Schizosaccharomyces pombe: one gene and its partners. The protein of the gene in region 1 purifies or fractionates together with the protein of each later gene. This does not show direct contact. Each region holds a gene or a part of one and is shown in the gene's direction. Other genes may lie near its edges.

Evidence for each region.
Region 2: the proteins of csx1 (region 1) and cip2 purify together in Schizosaccharomyces pombe (affinity purification with mass spectrometry, with the first as the bait; one study listed by BioGRID). This does not show direct contact.
Region 3: the proteins of csx1 (region 1) and cip1 purify together in Schizosaccharomyces pombe (affinity purification with mass spectrometry, with the first as the bait; one study listed by BioGRID). This does not show direct contact.

The regions. Positions count from the first base shown.
Region 1 is NC_003424.3:3,567,967-3,575,040, reverse strand, and holds csx1 (RNA-binding protein Csx1), read left to right. Parts: upstream 1-2,695; coding exon 2,696-4,594; 3' UTR 4,595-5,034; downstream 5,035-7,074. Other genes in the region: SPOM_SPAC17A2.10C (uncharacterized protein), read left to right, coding at 1-46; spliceosome complex disassembly protein Ntr2, read left to right, coding at 5,502-5,598, 5,673-5,749, 5,815-5,900, 5,949-6,774. UniProt on the Schizosaccharomyces pombe protein: Regulates global gene expression after oxidative stress. Interacts and stabilizes atf1 and pcr1 mRNAs after oxidative stress, thus controlling their turnover.
Region 2 is NC_003424.3:340,860-348,270, reverse strand, and holds cip2 (RNA-binding protein Cip2), read left to right. Parts: upstream 1-3,099; 5' UTR 3,100-3,141; coding exon 3,142-4,872; 3' UTR 4,873-6,181; downstream 6,182-7,411. Other genes in the region: GATOR2-SEACAT complex ubiquitin-protein ligase E3 subunit Sea4, read right to left, coding at 1-1,076; efg1 (rRNA-processing protein), read left to right, coding at 1,653-1,727, 1,832-1,964, 2,027-2,157, 2,220-2,432; protein Mcp60, read left to right, coding at 6,416-7,411. UniProt on the Schizosaccharomyces pombe protein: Regulates global gene expression after oxidative stress. Interacts and stabilizes mRNAs and may regulate their transition between different cytoplasmic components after oxidative stress.
Region 3 is NC_003423.3:4,259,817-4,266,364, reverse strand, and holds cip1 (RNA-binding protein Cip1), read left to right. Parts: upstream 1-2,287; 5' UTR 2,288-2,419; coding exon 2,420-3,892; 3' UTR 3,893-4,547; downstream 4,548-6,548. Other genes in the region: SPOM_SPBC16A3.17C (transporter), read right to left, coding at 1-806; NuA4 histone acetyltransferase complex subunit Eaf7, read left to right, coding at 5,046-5,202, 5,293-5,426, 5,489-6,016. UniProt on the Schizosaccharomyces pombe protein: Regulates global gene expression after oxidative stress. Interacts and stabilizes mRNAs and may regulate their transition between different cytoplasmic components after oxidative stress.

The DNA.
Region 1 (7,074 bases):
ATTCACCTCATTCCGTAAAATTGCTTCTTTGCCGTGTGTTTGTTGAATCGTATTGTTTTCCTATTTTTTTTTAAACCGGTTCTTATTCACTTACCTTTTTACTACTACTAGTACTATTACTATTACTGGTACTACTATTACTACTTACTTTCATTACCGTCAAACGCCCCGTTAATTCCGTAACACCGTTAACGCCGCTTTTCTCGGTTTTCTTCCTTTTTTTTTTTTGTTTCACTACATACATACAAACTTCGTTTAATACCCCTTGTGTGTTTTTTTTAGGGAGTTTTTCTTTTTTTTTTGCCTATCCAGTATATTCTAATTTACTCTTGTCTTCTTCCTTTTTTCAACCACTTGTTTTTGTAAGCTTTTGCTACTCTCTCCTAGTGTCTTTACTTTTTGTGGTTGTTGTGTAATTTTTTTTTTCTTTTGCTCGGTTCGGTTAGTTTAGTTTGTTTTGTTTGTTGCTTCGTTTACTTATCTTTCAAACAAAGCACTTTTCTCCCTCTCTTTCCATTCCATCACACACTGCCTTATCAACAAACCCCCCAAGAAAAGTCTTGCACTTTTCTTCATCCTTTTCTTTTTTATTCTTTTATTCGCTTTCTCACTTTCACATCATTCACCGCTTTTAGCAACACTCGGCTAACTATTTAAAAAGTCCAGCCAAGTTTCCTATTCATTCAATCGATTTCATTCGATTTCCTTTTCTTTCCTTTGCAACGGTTTCTTTTCTAGACCCATTTCTCGGTGGTTTGCTTTTTTTTTTCGCTCACCATCCTCCCACATCAATCCTTACCTGATTTTCTCTCTCTCACGCACATACTCTCTCTACTGCCTTGTGCTCTCTCTGTCTCTCTCCCTTGTCCTCTTTCGATTCTTAACCTCGTAAATCTTACATCCATTTTTCGGACTTTGGTTTTCGGTACCGGTGCGCATCGCTGTCTCGCTTTTTTTCCTCGCTACGCATCCTTATTGCTCTCTTGGGATTTCGCCACTTTCCCTCGCCTTGCTTGTCTTGTGTTGCCTAGCTGATTGCATAGCCCATACTTCATTTGTGTTTATTACACACCGTACCCCCCTTGTTGTGTGTATACGTTTTTAAGGTCTCGCTATTTAAAGTGCTTGCCTAGTCTGGACACGCTCCTACTCTCTCCCATTCACTTTTACTTTTCACTCGTCTCCCAACGGTTCATCCTTTCTTTCCTTTACTTTGCTTTGCTTCGCTTTGCATTCGGAACCGGTTGTACTTTTTTTTTCTCTTTTTCGCTGCGTGACTTATTTATTTGTATTTTACCGAATTCCTCTAGCATTCCAGCGTTCTATCCTATCACCACTTTTTTTTTCATTTTTCTTCTTTTTCCCCTATTGAACGATTTCTCCTCTTCCCTACTCTATCGTTCCCTCTAAATTTTCCGTACCTTTTTGCAGATTCCTTACTTGGTTATATATTACTGACTGCTTTTGGTATCTTTTTTCCATTCTTCTTCTCGTCTCTTTCAAACTCTACCTTTCTCGAGAAGGAAAATTTTCCCTTTTACTTCCTCGCATACCGTATCCTCCTATTTAGCTATATCACTAGCGAAAAAAAGGACTACTCGATATCAAAAGGATTCGTTTGTTCTTTATATATTATAACATACATATACTGCACAGTATATATATATAAACCTATAATATACGGACACCTCTTTTTCCTGCATTGTATATATATTATATTTATATAATATATAATATAATATAATATATATATATATATTTGTCATTGTTGCTGTTGTTCTTTAACTTCATCAAAGAAAACACTTCTGTCCCCCCTGTCAGGTTCCTTCGTTTTTTATTGCACATATATATATATTTTTATTTTATTTTATTTTCTTTTCTTCTTCTCTTTCTGTGATTGATTAACTCGACTCGATTTTCTTTTTTCCTTTTCTTTATTTTCTCTCTTCCAACCTTTGGTTTCTTTTTCTTTTTTTTATTCTTCATACCTAATAATTTTCAGAAGAGACCTTGTTCATCGTTGTTTCCTTTTTCTTTCGTACATTGTATTACTTGTTTTATTATTTTTAAAATAAAAACTGAAGAACCCTGCTTCATCACAACCATCAGGTTTTCTTTTTCGTGTACCCATTCAGTGATTTTAACGAATTTTTCTTTCACGCCTCATTAAGGATTGTATTTTCGCTTTTTGTCTCATCAACAATCGAATAACTTTGTTTCTGTGTTTTTTTTTTATATTTTCACTTCAACAAGCTTTTTACCGCGAAACCATCTCATTTATTAATTTCCTTTTATTTCAGATCGATTTTGATTTTTATTCTTCCAATCCTCTTTAATACTCGATCTTTGTAACACTTTGTTTTAGTACTTCTTTTATTCCTGAATCTTTTTTTTTTTGCTCTTACCGTTACACTTTACGCAAGCAAAAAAAATTTCTCTTTTTTTTTTTATTAAATTGTTCTTGATTGTTCTATTAGCATTTCTTCATCTCAAGAGTTCTTAGACCTCTCGCTTTTTCGTCCTTGATTTATTTGTCTGTACGTTATAAGCTAAGCTTTATTTTGTTCATCGTTGAAAGATTCTACCACCCATTGTCTTATACTGGTTACGTTTTTTGACTTTTGTGTCTCATTGAAACTTTGTTGTTCATTCATATTACTTACTTTCTTTTACTTTTTTTTGGATATCTATTTAAATGTCTATTGACTGCCTTTATCGCCGTTCTTCATTGTTTGATACTTCCTTCGTCCCTTTGCATTCGTCTATTCCAGCAACCTCGAAAATGTCAGCTTCTAATTCAGATGTCAATGCCCCCATTTCCCCTGTGGTTGATGAGGGCAAATCAGAGTTAGTTTCTCCTACTTTGGAGAGACTTGTGGCTCCTTTCAACTGTTCTCCTAGCTCCACTCCACTTCAAGATGTAGCAGGTGTTGGCTCGAAAATGAGCGACACCTTATGGATGGGTGACCTGGAACCTTGGATGGACGCTACTTTTATTCAACAGCTCTGGGCTTCCCTCAACGAACCTGTCAACGTTAAAGTCATGCGCTCCAAAGCATCCTCTTCGGAAACGCTTATCAGCTATTGCTTCGTTCAGTTTTCCTCTTCTGCAGCTGCTGAGCGTGCTTTGATGAAGTATAATAACACCATGATTCCTGGTGCTCACTGTACCTTCAAGCTTAACTGGGCTACTGGTGGCGGCATTCAACATAACAACTTTGTTTCCCGTGATCCTGAGTTTAGTATCTTCGTTGGCGACCTTCTTCCCACTACCGAGGATTCGGATCTTTTTATGACTTTCCGTTCCATATATCCCTCATGTACCTCAGCCAAGATCATTGTCGATCCCGTTACCGGTCTCAGCAGGAAATATGGCTTTGTTCGCTTTTCAAGTGAGAAAGAACAACAACATGCCTTGATGCATATGCAGGGCTATTTGTGTCAAGGTCGCCCCTTACGCATCTCTGTCGCTTCACCAAAGTCTAGAGCCTCCATCGCCGCCGATTCTGCCCTTGGTATCGTTCCTACTTCTACTTCTAACCGCCAGCCTAATCAAGATCTTTGTAGCATGGATCCTTTGAACACTACGGTGTTTGTCGGTGGCTTGGCTAGCAATTTATCCGAGAAAGATTTGCAAGTTTGCTTTCAGCCCTTTGGAAGAATTTTGAACATCAAGATTCCCTTTGGCAAGGGATGTGGCTTTGTCCAGTACAGTGAAAAATCTGCTGCTGAAAAGGCCATAAACACTATGCAGGGTGCCTTAGTTGGTACTTCTCATATCCGCCTCGCGTGGGGTCATAATACGCTTCCTGTATCTGCCTTGTCTCAATCTCAATCCCAAGTTTCAGATGAGGGCTTCGACAGAACTCTTTCCGCTAACCAAATTTTCGGTATGAATCAATCTGTCATTGGAGCAAACTCTGGCAGCTCAAACTCATCCGGCTCTAGCTTGAAGAGTGCACCTGTTTCACCTCGTACTGCTGCTGCGCAATCTTTGTTGCCAAACTCCGTTGTTTCCTCAATCAATGGCATGAACTCCGTAAATTTTTCAACCATTTCTCCACCTCCTTTGTCTCGTTCAGCCTCCATTTCTCCTACGTTGTCCGGTAGTGGCTCAGGTTTGACACCTCTTTCTTCCCATTTCCCTTCAGCTGCCACTGGCTTGGTAGGCGGACAGGTGTATCCTCAGTCTTCTGTTTTGCAATCCTCAAAAATTAATGGTTCTGCAAAGGTCCAGCCTAGTGTGAAGCTCCCCGAATGGTTGCAGCCTTTTTCCGGCAACAATCATAACTCCTTTGCTACTCAAGATTTATTAACACGTGTTTCCTCCTTAAAGTTGGTTGATGATGAGCAACCTGCTTCTTTGAATGGTTCAGCATTTCAAGCGAGAGCTTCTAGGCCTTGGAACCTAGGAAGGGAGCGTCAGTCTTCACTAATTGATCTCCGTCATGAGTTGGAGCAAAATGAAAACGGTTTGGAGAAATCCGGCTTTGGTTTGAACTTGAGAGGTCGCTTGCCTCCTCGTTCTTATTCTACATTTAATTGTACTGGTCAATACTTGCAACCTTCTCTACGCTTGTCACGCGATTCATAAATTATTTTTATGATGTTTGAAATGCATTACTACTACTACTATTTGTTTCTTCCACTTCTCTTCTTAAGTGAAGGGATTTCCCGAATATTCTTGTTTTATTTCTAATGTTTTTGTTTTAATTTTTTATTTATTTTCGTTTTTCAAAGGCATCCGTATAAGTTTTCGAGGGCTCCTGATCAAGTTAGTTTAATGTCTTAAAGAACTGAAGGGTGCTCTCGTGATTTTTTTTATTTTGTTTTGTTTTTATTCTTGTATGTTAAATCTCTCTTGTGATGTTTTTTATAACTGTTGAATATTATTTGTGCCAAGGATTGTTTTATTTATGATTGTTTTATTTTTCTTTCATTGCTGTTGTTCCTTAATGCACATATGTACATGAAAACTTCCATTGAGGTTTTTCAAACGTCCAAATCTTTTTTTTGGATCGATGAGTTATTTATATGTTTTATTTTAAAATGTCCTTTCCAAAAAATAATTTTGTTATTTTTTCTTCTGATTTTCTAAATAATTAAAAGCATTGTTTTTGTTTTCAACTTATATAATGGAAATTTTCCAGTGACTGTAGTAGATATTGGTAGCTTGTCGATTGTAGCTTTTCAATTAAAAGTTTTAAATCTGAAACTTGAATTTCAAACACATTTCTCTAAAATTAGTCGAAAAAAATGTAAGTCAATTGAACAAATACTTTTCTGATGCTTTGCATTATCCGATGCACCTCTTCAGTATGTGCCATAATATTAAATGCCCAAGTAAAGACATTTATGTTTATCCCTTTCTAATTTTCACAGAACATAAAAACATCATTTTAATTAAGACTTTATATGATTTTTTTTTTACAAAAATAGCTATTCAATATGAAAGATTGGTAGAAATATGTTTGCCTAGAAAGTAGCACCCATTTACCAACATGCGACGATACTTAAAAAAGGCGAAGCCTAAAATCGTGCAAACGAGCGACAATGAGGAAGAAAAGCATGAAGAAAATTTAAACGTTTCTCAATCAAGTAAGAACTTAAAAGCGCAAAAGTGCTTGGGCTCGAATAGAACTTATTATCGCAAGTGTACTAACAATGCTTAGACAAAAATGCAAATAGAAGAAAAACAAAAGCGAAAGAAAAAAATTCGGGAAAATTTAGGGTGAAATATGAGAACGAGGTAAGTTGTTTTTTGCTGGAAAACGTTTTACCAATTCATCTGTTATATTAACAAACATTGATTAGGAAGGAGACGACGATGGGGAGGATTCTCAAATCCCTTTGATTCCAAAGGTAAAAAAGCAAAGCTCTTTTCATTCGGTTGATGATTTGTAAGTAAAATGTTTTAAGTCCAAGTATTAGTTATCTAATTAATAAAGAATATCGCGAAGAATGGATGCTCTCTCGCATGAAAGTGGATACTCCAATGCTTATGTGGATGAGTTAAAGAGAAAAAGTAGGCAGACACCATCAGAATTTACAAAGAAGGAGGAGGATTCCTCGACCAAAGAAAGCGAATTGCAAACAAGATCGTCACCTCCTTTACCCGTTAATACTAGTTTGGAATGGAATATGCTTAATCAAGGCATTCCTGAGGAAGCAATGATTAAGGAGTTAAAGGATCGAGAAGGAAGAAAGAGAAACATTGCCATGATGACGGATAATTACATTTCACTTGAAACAGGGGACCAACTGATGTTGGCACAAAATCATAAAGAAGAGAAATTGCTTCAAACGGAAGACGAAATTCAAGATGAAGGTTACTCTGGATTTGAAAATTACGTGGAGGAGTCAGAAAAACTTCAAGAAATATACCACCATAGCTCGGAAAGTTTACGGACACGATCAATTCAAATGGCCGTCGACCAGAAAAATATGGAGATGGAATTGGACGATGAAGACATAGCAGAGCCCATCCAATCATGGGAACATACTCAAATCAAGAAAGGTGCCTTTGGAGAATCTCCTGCTTTTACAAATGGACTTTCTGTGAAGCTTCCTAATATTCTTACAATGGATGAACAAATTCAGCGGCTAAAAGAAGCAATAGCTTCTGAGAAGCTTCAGCAGGAGGAGCGTTCACAGATTATTAAATCACTTATGGAAGAAGAACTCGAGATTAATGAACAAGAGGAAAAGATTAAACATTCTTTCATTGATTTAGATAAAACTTTGTTGAACAACCTTACCAAAAGCAAATCCTGATTTACTTTGGATTTTTTAATTGATAAAAAAAAAACAAAGAAGAAAGACATGGTCGATAAATTTACTTAACGCTATAACTTAGATTTACATTTCTTACAGAACTCTTATCCTTGTACAGTATTAATTAGCTGTTACAGCCCATCGGTGACTTGTTGAAATAGAAAAACAGTGCCAAGAAGTCACCGGGAATTACAAAAAAATAATGACCCGATATTTATGGAGATAATAGATATTAATTGCTAGAAGATTTCATTAGCTTTATCACATATTAAAGTTATAGCCTCTGAGTATTCAAAACTT
Region 2 (7,411 bases), 3.2 Mb from region 1:
ACATCAGAAAGTGTGTTAAATGGTGAAGAGTTTAAAGGATACAGTTTTTCTTTGAAGGAAAATATCAAATCATTATAAGGGTTAAATGAAAAGGGAATGACCTCATCATGGACAGAAAAAAGTTTCGGTTGTTCGTTTATGACACCCAAAATTTGAACATGAGTTGGAAAGGCTGTAGAAGGAGTAAAAAAATCAATGCCAGAACATTGTGAATTTGGTTTAACAGGATATTTCTTCTCATAATTTACAAAGACAGAATTATTTGCGGATCCTTCATTTCCATTGACACAAGGCAATAATTGACGAAGTGTAATCGAATTGTTTGACAAAACAGCCAATTGTCCAGGTTTCCATTCAGAATATTTCAGTGCAAATAATTGTGGATTTTTGGGCTTTTTATTTTCGTTCCGTAAAATAATTTGTAAATAATTATCGGATTTGAAGTATCGAGTATCAAAAATCGCAATGTCACCATCATAAGAATTTGCGGCAAAATAGTTAGGAGAAAATGGATCAACAACTATATTACTATAATATTGCGTATTGACGGAAGAAACTGAGTCTAGTTGCTGCCTAGTATCAATTATATGGACAGAACGCGAAGTTGATCCGGTAAGCAAAAGAGGAGTGTCTTTCTTATAACAAACGGAAGAAACTCCGTCTAGAGTAGAAGACTGCATTAAGGGACTACTCTTCGGGTCAGACAGTAATGAATTCAAGTCCCATAACTTCAAGGAAGACTCGTTTCGAGATTTTGCAAATCCAGCAACAAGATGTTCAGTTTCAGAAAATGCCAAACTATTGCAAGGGCGAGCATATCCAGGTGTTACTACTGCTTGAAATTCTGGATGCTTAACAGAAAGCAATGATATATTTCCGGTAGAAGAACCAGCACCCAATATTTCATTGTTTCCGTGAAAAGAGTCTATACATTTAACATTTTTCAATGATCTCCAAATAATGTGAGTTTTCCAATTTACTTTAGGGGAAGCTTTGACGGCGACATATCGAATCTCATCTGAGGAGCCGTTAACCCAAAAATAACAGCCATTCCTCTTTTTACTTCTATTTAACATTCTCTAAAGAGAAATTTGACAATTAGGCTTTACCAGAAACGCCCAAAATACTGCATAAACATTAAACAGAGCTTGATCGAAGCGTTCTTCAATCTCAACCACTCGTCAAACATAACGTTTAGCACTAATTTGCTTAACGATAGCTAACAGAAATGCCTTAACAACGGACTGAAAAGAGGCTGTCAAATTCAAAGGTTTTCTTTTTGCTATTGATGATTCTCTTAACAATAGTAGTATTAAAATACAGACCGGTTGCTAGATTAACTATCTTTTGCATACTTTTTAATCTCTAGGGTGACTTCGGTGTCGAACAAGCGATTCTTTGATGTACTGTTGAAAGTCTAAGCTTTTAAATCACTCCACAAGTACAACATATAAATCTACCTTGAATAAGTGTGAGTGAATCAAATATTTTAATCATAATTACCAGCTTAAACTTATATATAAAAGTAACGTGTCACTTGAGAACCTAGCAGCTGTAAAAATTGCAGTCCTTTAAGTTTACTACTGTTCTTCACCAGAACTAATTGTTTATGGTTTGAATTTCTATTTATCTATTTTATTGAGCGTTTTAGCATGCCAAAATTTAAGGGCCCTGGACTTTCTGTGCTGAAGAAAAAAATTCGCGACAATGAGAGATTATTGAAAAAGGTGTGTAATTTTTTTGCTGGTTTAAAAACATCTGCGGTTTCAGTGTGTAATAAATATTACCTTCCTTTTTATGTTAATGAATAAGAAAACTAACTTCCTTTAAGGAGAATTTGCCTGCAAACATTCGTGTTGAACATGAACGAGCTCTTTTGGGTCTACAAGAGCAGTTGTCTATGGCACAGTTAGAGCATAAAAAGCAAAAGATTTTTGAAAGATACAAAAAAGTTCGATTTTTTGGTATGAAACATATATAAAAACAGCATTTTTTGTTCAGTGAACTTGCTTACTGATTTTCTCAGAACGTAAAAAAGCAGAACGACGTATTAAACAATTGGAAAAATCTTTGAAGGATGAAACTATGGATGATGAGAAACGCAAGCAGTGTGAGAAATCGATGCGTAAATGTCAAATTGATCTTATGTATATTAAAGTATGTTTGTATTTTCGACTTCATTTCAACTATCAACTTGGCTAAGATACTAACCTATTTAGGAATACCCCCCTTTAACAAAGTATGTTTCACTCTACGCAGAAGGCACATCTGAACAGACCGAAGAAACTCGAAATCGCATTTGGGCCGAGATGGAAGAACGCTTTAATAGTGGCAGAAAACACAAAATACCATCTTCAGGTTCCAACAGGGTTCCTGTACAGGAAAAAAGTTCAACTGGTGGTGATTTGGAAGATGAATTTTTGCAAAGATAAATGAAAACTTGGATTGAGGTTTTGGAAATAAAGGGATTAAATAGACGAAACTGTAATAATATGATTCATTCTTTTTAATAAAGGTTGTGAAGTTTCCATATGAGTTATCGAGCAAGGTATTCTTTTTATGCAAGTTTATTTAAATTTTTTCTATGTCATATTGCAATGGGATTTGCTAGGGTACCAAAAATAGAACTTGTGGGAGAGAAGCTTTTGGATCCTAAGGTTCACTGAAGATATTTTTCACATATTTCATTCTATAATCTAATATGCTAAAATTCGAATGATATTTCATGGAATATCAAATTAATAAAAATATAAATTTACAAGAATTTAAGTAAAAACAAAAAATTAGGACTTTCATTTTGTTCTGTTTTAGGTGGTCGAATTATTAGACAGTTTAATAGTCTTTATCATTGCAGCAGTGTTTTTAAGAGCTCTTAGATGGACTTTCGGTTTTATCATCACAGTACCCTGTTATTTGCCTGGCAAAAAGTTACCTAGTGGGGGTTTAAAAATCAACACCAGTATGTAGTATATACATTTTATAATAATTATTTTTACATTTGCTTCTATAGATTGGTATATTTGAATTTATGGGTTTAAGACCTCAATAATATGGTGTAGTATATTGACTTTGCGCCCTTGGTGGTGTCCACGGATACCTAACCTCCGCACCACACGAAGTTACGACTTGTTTAGTGTCGATATGGCTGAGGGCACAAGCCAAAGGCCATTAACGCCTTTGTCGCAGGCATTTTTGTCAACTAATACTCTTTCTCCTGCTTCTTCCCCTTTAACTTTCCATTCTGAGGCTGCATCTCTGCGTAGAAAACGGTCCAACTTTTTCCCCAAATTAGATGAATTAAATGGAGCTCAAGATGAAGAAATGAGAGGTCTTAATATTCCTGGAGGATCAGGATATCTCGAGAACCGATATGGTCGTGATAAGTTTACGTTTTCTGATGCAGCCGTTAACAGTGCTGGAATGGGAGGGTCTGGCATATTTTCCCACAACAATGCAGATGATGGTTTGGGTGATGGTTCTTCTACGGTTTTACCAAGTTCCCTTAAACAAATGCTGGATCCTGAAATTTCAACTGCCAATAATCCATCTGCAAAGCCTCGTCGAACTCGTCTTCAAACTGCTTGGAAAGAAGCAACTAATTCAGCAGGCCTTTCTCTCCGGTCTGCAAGTGCTTTAGATGTACTCAAAAATTCTGGACCTGCTACTACCTCATTACTTTCCTCAACAACATACCCTTTTGATAGTTTAAATGCATTCAACGAACCATCCCATTCACATGTACCAAACTCAGCTTCTAGCACTGCTCTGTCTAGAGGTATGAGCAACTCTGTAACTTTGACGGCACCCCCTGAACCTGATGAAGAGACCATTCCTACCGCGATTGTTATTAAAAATATTCCATTCTCCTTGAAGAAAGAAGTGTTGTTTAAAGTGTTCACTGCATTAGACATCCCACGTCCATACGCTTTTAATTATCATTTTGATAACGGAGTTTTTAGGGGCCTTGCCTTTGCTAATTTCCATTCTCCAGAGGAAGCCAAAACGGTTGTGCAAGTTTTGAATGGCTATGAAATTACTGGTCGTCGTCTTCGTGTTGAATGGAAGCGTCAACTACCGCCTGCGGAGCGTGAACGTGTTGAGCGTGGTAAACAAGAGAAACGCGCTGTAGAAGAACGAAAAAATCAATTGAAATCTCCGTTTTCTGTTGCCAATATAGGTGCTGGCATTGATTTTGATTTGAATGATCCAGCTATACTCAATGTATATTCTCATATCTTGTTATTTTATTATCGCAGCGATAACACTAATGATCTTGTATTTGATTCTTCAACCACCCAGGAAGAACGTCGGGTTGCTGCCTTATTAGCTTCCCGTCTCAATCTCAATCATTCAGTTACTGGTGACGGTGAAGCTAAGCAAGTGGTTATTACCATGCCTAGTACTCATTTTACTCCCGCTAATAATTCGAGTGCTAACCACTCTCCTTTGATGGCCCCAAACGCCAGTACTTTAAATCCTTCTTCTTTAGGTGCTTCCAATTTGAGCCAACCAAGTCTTGCAAATCACTTGAGCTCCTCTGGTTTATTTGACAATGGTCTTTTCTCGTCCGGTGGTCTTTCTAGTAATTTTTCAAGTCTTAGACGACCCGCTCCCTCTATGCATCTTGCGGATAGCATACGTTCTCTCAGAGGACTAAATGATTCTAAAGCCTTTTCCGACATACGTAGTATGCCAGCTACTCCGTTAGAACTTGCTACTCCTTTTGCTAATTTAAATGTTTCCTCTCCACTGGATCGCAATGCGACTAATTCATCAAATACTTTAAACGGTAGTGCGATGAACGATTATTTTGCAAGCCTTACTCCATCAAACACCGGTGCTATTGGATCCAGAACTTTTACAAAGAATTAGTCTTGGATTTTTTGTTTTTCCCTGCTTTTGATTAATCTTGTTTTGGCTATGTCTCGGGTTTTATTAAGTTTCATTTACCTTACGATAATAAGCGCTTTCAAGCAAATTTATACTTTGTACATAAAAACGACGAGTGAAATTATCTCAATGAATTATCCATTTTTACGACCTAGTGTTCAATTGAGGACATGATTTTCATGCTTATATCGTTTACATACTCACTTCGGATGTGCATGTGATCGGGCTCATGCTTTTAAACTATAATGTGATTCTTGTAAAACGAAAAGGATTTAATTTAATAGATGATATTTTTCTCTCTTCAAAGTCACGTTTATGATTATTTTGAGAGGAATAAAATGGAATTTTCTTTTGTGAGATTTTTTTAAACTTTTGTATCGCAAATCCGGTTTGACGATTCGTATACTGGGATACGATGCTTGAGCTATACAGCAAAAGTCTCAAATAAAATTTACGATAACCGATCTTACGTGGGATGTTAATGGTGTTATTTGCAATAATTTGTTGTTTTGATTGTGTTTTGTTCTTATGTGTAGGACCTTTCGTTACTATCAATACCTTTTCAATTTCTATATCTCATATGTTTTGTACGGACCCAGCTTGTTCACGTTAGTGTCACTCGGTTTTTAACTATTACGAATGATGGCTTCATTTTAATGGCTGTTTGGCTAATTGTGCCTAAATTCTTTTCCGTGTTATTGATTTGATAATGTGTTAAAGAATTCAATTTCGATTATGAGAGTTCGGTTGTCATTTGTATGATTTTTTTCGTCAAGATATGATTGCACTATTTTTTTTTTGTTATTATTATTTTTTTTCGCACTGTTTTTAGTGGATACTTGATGATTTTGTCTAAACGTATCTCGTATCTGCTGTATCGTTTAGTATTACTTTTTAAATAAGTATAGAACATTTACGACTTTTTAATTTGATAAATTGAGTTGATCTTTCTTATTTGAATAATCACGAAGAAACGGCACATTGACCATAGTCGAGCACCGCATTTTTTTTAGAGGTTTTAATGACTGTAAATCGACTAAATGAAAACGCTCCCCGTTCTTGCTCTATATGTTTTAATTTTTTAGAAGCCGTTTAGCGATAAACAATGCAATACACTATTTTTCGATATTTTTCTTCAAGAAGCTACCAAACCTATTCTTAAAATTTGGTCGCTTTTCTATTGGCTATTTGCCGGCATGTCAATCTTTATCCCATCAAAGTTCTTTCTAGAATATCAGGCAGTCACAGTATATATAATGTCTATTATAGCTAACTTATCGTCTGCCTAGCCTTGTTTGGAATTTCATTAAGCGGAAAATAGTGAAGAGTATTTCACGTATTTTAAAACCAATAATATATCTAAAAGCTGCAAGCATTTATTTTTGCAGGGACAGCTAGCTGGTTATATTCCTAACGTGTGGGTTGTATTTGCGTTAGATAACTTTACATTTCTTTATATCTCTTTTTGGGTGCATTAAAAAAAACCATTTTTTACAACTTCATTTTATTTCATTAATTAAACATAATGGTGAGCTTCCTTTCTTCCAGTGTATCTCGTCTACCTTTAAGAATTGCTGGTCGTCGAATCCCCGGCAGATTTGCCGTCCCTCAAGTTCGTACATATGCTAAAGACTTAAAATTTGGTGTTGATGCTCGCGCATCTTTACTCACCGGTGTCGATACTCTTGCTCGTGCCGTATCTGTAACTTTGGGACCAAAGGGCCGTAATGTCTTGATTGACCAACCTTTTGGTTCCCCTAAAATCACTAAGGACGGTGTAACTGTCGCCCGTAGTGTAAGTTTGAAAGATAAATTCGAAAACCTTGGTGCAAGACTAGTTCAGGATGTTGCAAGCAAGACTAATGAAGTTGCTGGTGATGGTACCACTACTGCTACTGTTTTAACTCGTGCCATCTTTTCTGAGACTGTTCGTAACGTGGCTGCCGGTTGCAACCCTATGGACCTTCGCCGGGGAATTCAACTTGCTGTTGATAACGTCGTCGAATTTTTGCAAGCCAATAAGCGTGATATTACTACTTCTGAAGAGATTTCCCAAGTCGCTACCATCTCTGCTAACGGTGACACTCATATCGGTGAGCTTCTTGCTAAAGCCATGGAACGTGTTGGTAAAGAAGGCGTTATCACCGTCAAAGAAGGGCGCACAATAAGCGACGAATTAGAGGTTACTGAGGGTATGAAGTTTGATCGTGGTTACATTTCTCCTTACTTTATTACCGATGTCAAATCACAAAAGGTTGAATTTGAAAATCCTCTTATTCTTCTTTCTGAAAAGAAAGTGTCTGCTGTCCAAGACATTCTTCCCTCTTTGGAGCTTGCCGCTCAGCAGCGTCGTCCCTTAGTTATCATCGCAGAGGACGTTGATGGTGAAGCTTTGGCTGCTTGTATCTTAAACAAGCTTCGTGGGCAATTACAAGTTGTTGCTATTAAAGCCCCTGGCTTTGGTGACAACCGTCGTAATATGCTTGGAGATTTAGCCGTCTTGACTGATAGTGCCGTGTTC
Region 3 (6,548 bases), on another chromosome or scaffold:
ACAACAATTAAGGCAGTTGCAATACCGCCACTTGGTAAATTAATAAAGAAAATCCATCTCCAAGTTGTTCTTTGACAAATTGCACCTCCAATAATAGGCCCTGCTACCAAAGCCGCACCCCAGGCAGTAGCCAGAATTCCACTATACATTGGTCTTGTGCGCAATGGGGTTATATCAGATATAATAATATTCACGAGAGAAATAATACCTCCTCCACCAAGGCCTTGAATGGCACGGCAAACGATTAGCCATATCATGTTTTGTGATGCACCACAAAGTGCACTACCCAGCATGAAAAAGAAAATGCAAATGTAAAGTACTATTTTTCTTCCAAGGATATTGCAAAATACACCGACAGCAGGAAGAACTGCGTTGGAAGCAAGGACATAGGCAGATCCAATCCATGATGAACTTGATGTATCATTAAAGTCTTCAGCTATAGTCGGCAAAGCAGTGGTGACAATTGTATTATCTAATGCAGCAAGAAACAAAGTAAGAATTAAGGCAGGAACCACTATTTTCATATTATTTTCTGGGATTAATTGTATATTGGTATCATCATCATTAGAAGCAGATTCTTGTTTAGAGAATTCAGTGGATTGCTTATGCACGTCAAGTTCATTCACTTTGTTTTCATCCGGAACTATGTCGGTTTCTTTAACTTCCTTTTCTTCATTGGAAGGATATGCTGTCAATATAAAAGGACTGGTGGTCTTTTTAAGGGATAGTCCATCTATTGAATTTTGCCCTTCAGCAGCATTTGTTTTAGAGCCGGAAAATGAGTTGTGAGATGAAGAACTAGACATTGCGTATAATTTATGCTCTTGAATAATAAAAATTTTTTAAACAAATGGCCGCTAGTTGAGATGGACGTTTTTTAGACAATTTTACAAATATTTTTAAGGGGGAGAATAAAGAAAAACAAAGACAAGTAAACAAGGAAATATCCTAATAATAAAGCACTAAAAACCCTATCCAAACGCTTATATATTCCTTATAGTCAAATTTCTCATTGTTGAGTCTTATGGTGATTAATTTGGTAAGCGGCTTGCTAGTGGTATTCAGTAAATTTTTATACAAATATGTGTCTAAGTGATTATCACGAAAATCAGACTACTAGCACAATAACATAATCCATCGAGATCTAATACAATTTAAATAAGGAGAAAAGTGAGAGATGTGACATATATTTGTATGCACACTGACAAATTGTTTTGCAGTATTTGCTTTCTCCGGTACGTCGCTCCCCCTTATAATGAACTTCTTTAGTAAGCAGGAGGAGCTTGAACGCACTTCTCAAGAGTGCATCCTTGTTGTCATTCTAGATATGGTTAAACGACAACATGCGAAATATATCAAATAGAAATTTGCGTGGAGATTCCGCGTATCTACAACAGCTTTTAGCCACGTGTCAATTACACGAACCAAGTTTGAAGTGGTAAGATTTCTAAAATGTAATAAGAAACGCAAAAGGAGGTTTTAAAAAGTAATTTTTCCTCGAAGTGTGATACTTGAGTACATTTCAAAAGAAATGGGTGTGCACGGTGAAGCCTTTAAAAGTCATCTAACGATAGTAATTAATGCTGGATGGAAATAGTTCTTAACGCTTAATATAAGTGGTTTTTATGAAATAGAATAAAAGGGAGGATCGCTGCAGCCGTCAATGTACAACAACATGGCACTTGCTTGACATTTTAACGACTCAGCGAACGTATAGTAAATAAGATTACTTCGATAATTAATAGGTGTCGGTTGAAATAACATTTCGTCTATTAGCGAATGAAGGATCGATAATAAAAGCATTCAAATATGCCTGGCATTGTACATTTCCATGATACGCCTTAAAACAAAATAGCAAGTCTGAAGTCAACAGGAACAGTATAGTAAAAAGAAATAGCAGAAAGGAAGAAAAGTTAAGCAATGCTCAAGTCTACTCGAATTTGGCTAATGGAGAGTCCAGCTGTCTACTTTTATTTATCTATACTCTTCTACAGCTGACAAGATACTCGTTTTCGGTAAGGCACAGCTAATTTAGATTACTCGTTTATCATGAGAGATAGCAAAAAAGCTAAGAACAGCTTCAATCGGCTTTTTACGTTCATACTGCTACTCAATATGTTCAGATTTATATTCCTATTAATTATTAACTGCCTTACTATTTACGCAAACAAGTAAGTATATTTTTTTTTGTGTATAGTAAAGTGTTTGCTGCTTTTCGTTGTATTTTGTTAAACAATTTGGTGTGCTACCGTGTGATGCTGCTGAAAGAGACGCTCAATTAATCCTTAGACTGAACTAGCATCTACAAGTGCAGTATTCTAAGGGGCAAATTACGGGAATTTCCTAGTCAATTTTCTCTGTTTTCACATATAACTTTTATTCCTCAGAATATATCTGGACTCGTTCCCCCGCATCTAGAATGCCTAATGAAATATTTCCCTGGAAAATTCGTGTGGATGAAAGTCGAGGATTAGCAGGTAATTCTGGGACGAAAAAATCAAATCATGAAGCATTATCAAGATTACAATCACCCTTGAATTCTCCTAAGCTACAGCCAATTGGTTCTCCTCAGGCTTCTAGGAAAACAAGCGGTTCCGGTTCGAGTGCTCCGCTGTACCCCAAATGGTCCGGTGCCCTTTCTCTTGCTAGTAGTCGTGCTGCATCGCCGGCTCCTTCTGATAGCTTTCCTACTTTTGGTTATTCTCAGCTTGGTGGGCTAGAAAATAGTTCTAAAGGTTCCGCGCTTTTTAACAGCGCCAATTCTATTGGAACTCCGTACCTCTCGTCCAGGAACTCAAATTCAGCAAATGAGGCGAGTGCTATGGCTTTCCACAATGTCTCTCCTCCTAGTGGTGCTGAATCTTCTTCAGAAAGTAAAAGCTTTTCTGCCAGTGGAAAAGGCAATAAAGCTGATACATCCGCAGAGCCTTCGTTGGATGCTTTTAACAGTACCCAAATCAAAGCAGGATCGACTGCCAATTCTAATTCAACACCGGTTGAACCCGGTGAAGATACCATTCCAACGGCTATTGTTGTGAAAAATATTCCTTTCTCGTTGGAGAAAGATACATTGTTGGATCATTTTAAGCAACTAGGTATTCCCAGACCTTATGCCTTTAATTATCACTATGACAATGGAATATTTCGAGGATTGGCTTTTGCTAATTTTTATCGTCCTGAAGAGGCTCAAGTTGTTGTGCAAACGCTTAATGGCTATGAAATTAATGGCAGACGTCTTCGTGTTGAATGGAAACGCCAATTACCAGCTGCAGAACGCGAGAAGGTGGAAAAAGCAAAGAAACGTCAAGCTGAAGAAAGACGTCGTAAACAGCAGTACAAGATGTTTGAAGTTAGCTTTACTGATCAAGGCTTAAATTTGAATGACACTGGTACCCTTGAAACTTATAGTAGACTTCTATTGTTTGCTCATCAATGCATTCCTTCTCGTGAAATAACATTTGAAACCACTTCTAAGGACGGAAACCTTCTAAATGCCATTAGAATCTTTTGCCTGTACTTTGATCTCGATTACTATGCTCGCCCGAATGGAGAGGTGTTAAAATTAGTAGTTACTCATCCGAATAAAAAGAATACGAGCGTAAGTCAGTCGCAACCTGCATCTCCAAATTTAAGATTTAATATGCCGGCACCGTTAGCTACTCGATTTTTGCAAGAGCATTCATTGAATGGTACTAAGAGTGCCCCTATAACCCCACCTCCCAGTTTCGCAGTACCATTGACAAACCAACTTCGTTCGATTGACGACAAAATTTATGGAAATGAATCACCGCTTCAAAAGGCTTCTACTTTGAGTTCACCTTTCAATTCAAAAAATGATAATGATGCTTCTACCTCCGCTTCCAAGCAGAGTTTTGGTGTCTCCCACTTTTAGAGTCTATGCAATTATAAAGAAACTGTTTATGTACCTTTTAAGATATGATTTTTGTTTACGCCAACTATAGATGCATTTACTATACGCTATTTGTTTTGACTAAATTTTGCTCTTTATCCCTTTATCACTTACTTCTGATGAATCTAAACTCTATGGGCTTCATTTTGTTGATTTTTTGTTTTCCCTTTCACATAGTTGGTTATCCAGCAAATAATCCTTTTAAATACTTAGAAGCTTATATTTTATCGTTTTGAATTCCCACGACACATTTGGACGACTCGACTTAACAGCAATCAATGATGGATATATGTTGGGTGAGGCATAATGTTTTATGACGATAATCAACGGATGAGCGATGCTCCTATTTTTTTACAAATTATAACGATTTTTCTTGTATAAGAAATTTATGCCCTACCGTATAATATACACATACTTTACATGATTAAATTTAACCTTGGACAAATACATTAGTCTGATATTACAAAATTGAACTTTTATTTTTGTAAATTTAATCATCTTCTTTATGTGGATGTGAATGTTCCTAGCTTAGTATTACCGTACTATGGATATAGAAATAAACCTACGATTTAAAGTCTATTTTCTACCAAGCTTGTAGGGCTTTAAATGAGCTACTTTAAAATTACCTAAAATATCGTTAAATTTTCCTATATAATGCGAATTGATTTATATGTAAAAAAGAAAAAGAAATTGCAAGCATGGTGGACTTTTAGTTCCATTGTTAGTAAGTTGTAATTAAAGGAAGTTACAAAGGATTCACTAAAATAAGAATACTTTATGGGTTATCGCAGCCTTACTCAATTACTGCACTTGAATGTCTATTGAATTTAAGAATGAAGAAAGGATAACACAAAGATGCACGATTCTTTTTGGATGAACTTTTATTTTTTGTTAAGGTTATGAAAAAAGATGAAATACACTTGACCTTGTAATTACTGCAGCTAGAAAAAGAAAATATTATAAAAACCAGTTTCATGAGTTATGGCTGGAAGTACCGCACAACACCATAAATATTGATAATCTGCTATATTGCCGATAATATAAAGTTAAATTAGTAGAAAAAGTAAACTAAGAAACAGAAATTTTCTTATTTTACCCATATAAACCTATGTATTAGAGGATAGCAATTGTATTTATGAGTTCGAGGGGAACAAGATCATCAACTGCTGCCGAGCAGAAAAGGCAGGAGGATGTAAATAAAGAATCAAATATGAATGATTCTGTTACTGAATGGTCTGTTTTAGAGGAAACCTTACTGTTAAAAGCTATTTGTCGTGGATTGCGCCCTGTAGGTAAGTGTTCGAAAGGTTAATTGCTCGGTCTCTTATTTTAAAAGCTGCATGTTATCAAATTATTGCATTCATTCACTAATTAAAAAATAGGAATAGAAAAAAATTTTTATATGATAGGGATTTTACGAGAAATTCGTGATGGCTGCAAAAGATCAACAATTAAGGCTCAGGACGTTTGGAATAAATTAGGAACACTTTATAATTTGAAAGAGTTTGAAGAATTGGTATGTCAAAAAGCCTTTTAATTTTTTGTTTTCAAGTATTTGTTGACAGTTTTTTAAATTAGGAAGCTCCAGGAAATGAAGAAGTTAAGGCGAAAGAAAAACGAATAAAGTCGCCAGATGTTAAAGATTTTAAATTACCAAAAGATATTCTTAAAGTAAAAGAAAAATCCGAGAAACCATTGGAAACATCTCAAAAAGTGGAGATTGAAACGGTAGAAACTAAACCCGGTGAACCCGAAGTTAAGCAGGAGACGAATTTACAGAAAGAGAAGAAGGAAAGTAAAGTCAAGCTTGAATCTAAAGAAGAGAAAATTTCTCGGAATTTACGATCCTCTTCTAGAAGTATTTCTCCTGTTACTGAACAGCCGCAAAGTCCAAAGATTCAGCCTGTTATTCCCGAAAAAAAAGAAAAGTCTGAAAAGAAAGAGAGTTCCATGACTTTGCGAAAAAGATCCGTCTCGCCATCTTCTCAAAATACAGCCCGTTCTCCAAAGCGTATGGCTACTGAGCCCATAGAGCCTGCTTCTTCACCGGCAGCTTCAAACCAAGCTATTCGCCGTAGCTCTCGAAGCCGGAGGCCTCCGACCTAGCTCTTGTTAACAGAAAAACCTAGGATGGGAAAGACTGATTATTTGTACATATCATTTATGCTTGGTCTACTCTAATGAACGGTTATTTATATATGAGACCAAAATTAATTATCACAAGGGATTTATAAAAAGTGAAAAATAAAAAGAATTATGATTTTACTACAACTAATATTTTGTATGTCAAGGAGATTTGTTTTAGCAGAATTATAGGTTTAATGGGATCGACGGCATGTCCAAAACTAATTTGCTTTTGCAGTTTTACTCCTTTTTGATGCTCGATTCACGTAATGGGAAAAGACGAACGGCTTTGTTACAAACAAATTTACTCTGATTTACCGCTACGATTTTTGAATCCCGTCACTTCTTTACTGTTCGTTACGATGTTTTATGTAGCTATATATACTGTTTGATAGCTTGACTTGCTAAAAAAAATCTTCTAACTGTGAGTTTTCAATTTTAATTCGATAGGTCCATATGTTAATGTCGATTTGGTTGGAAATATGTTTTAAAGTATGTTTAACACGCATAGACA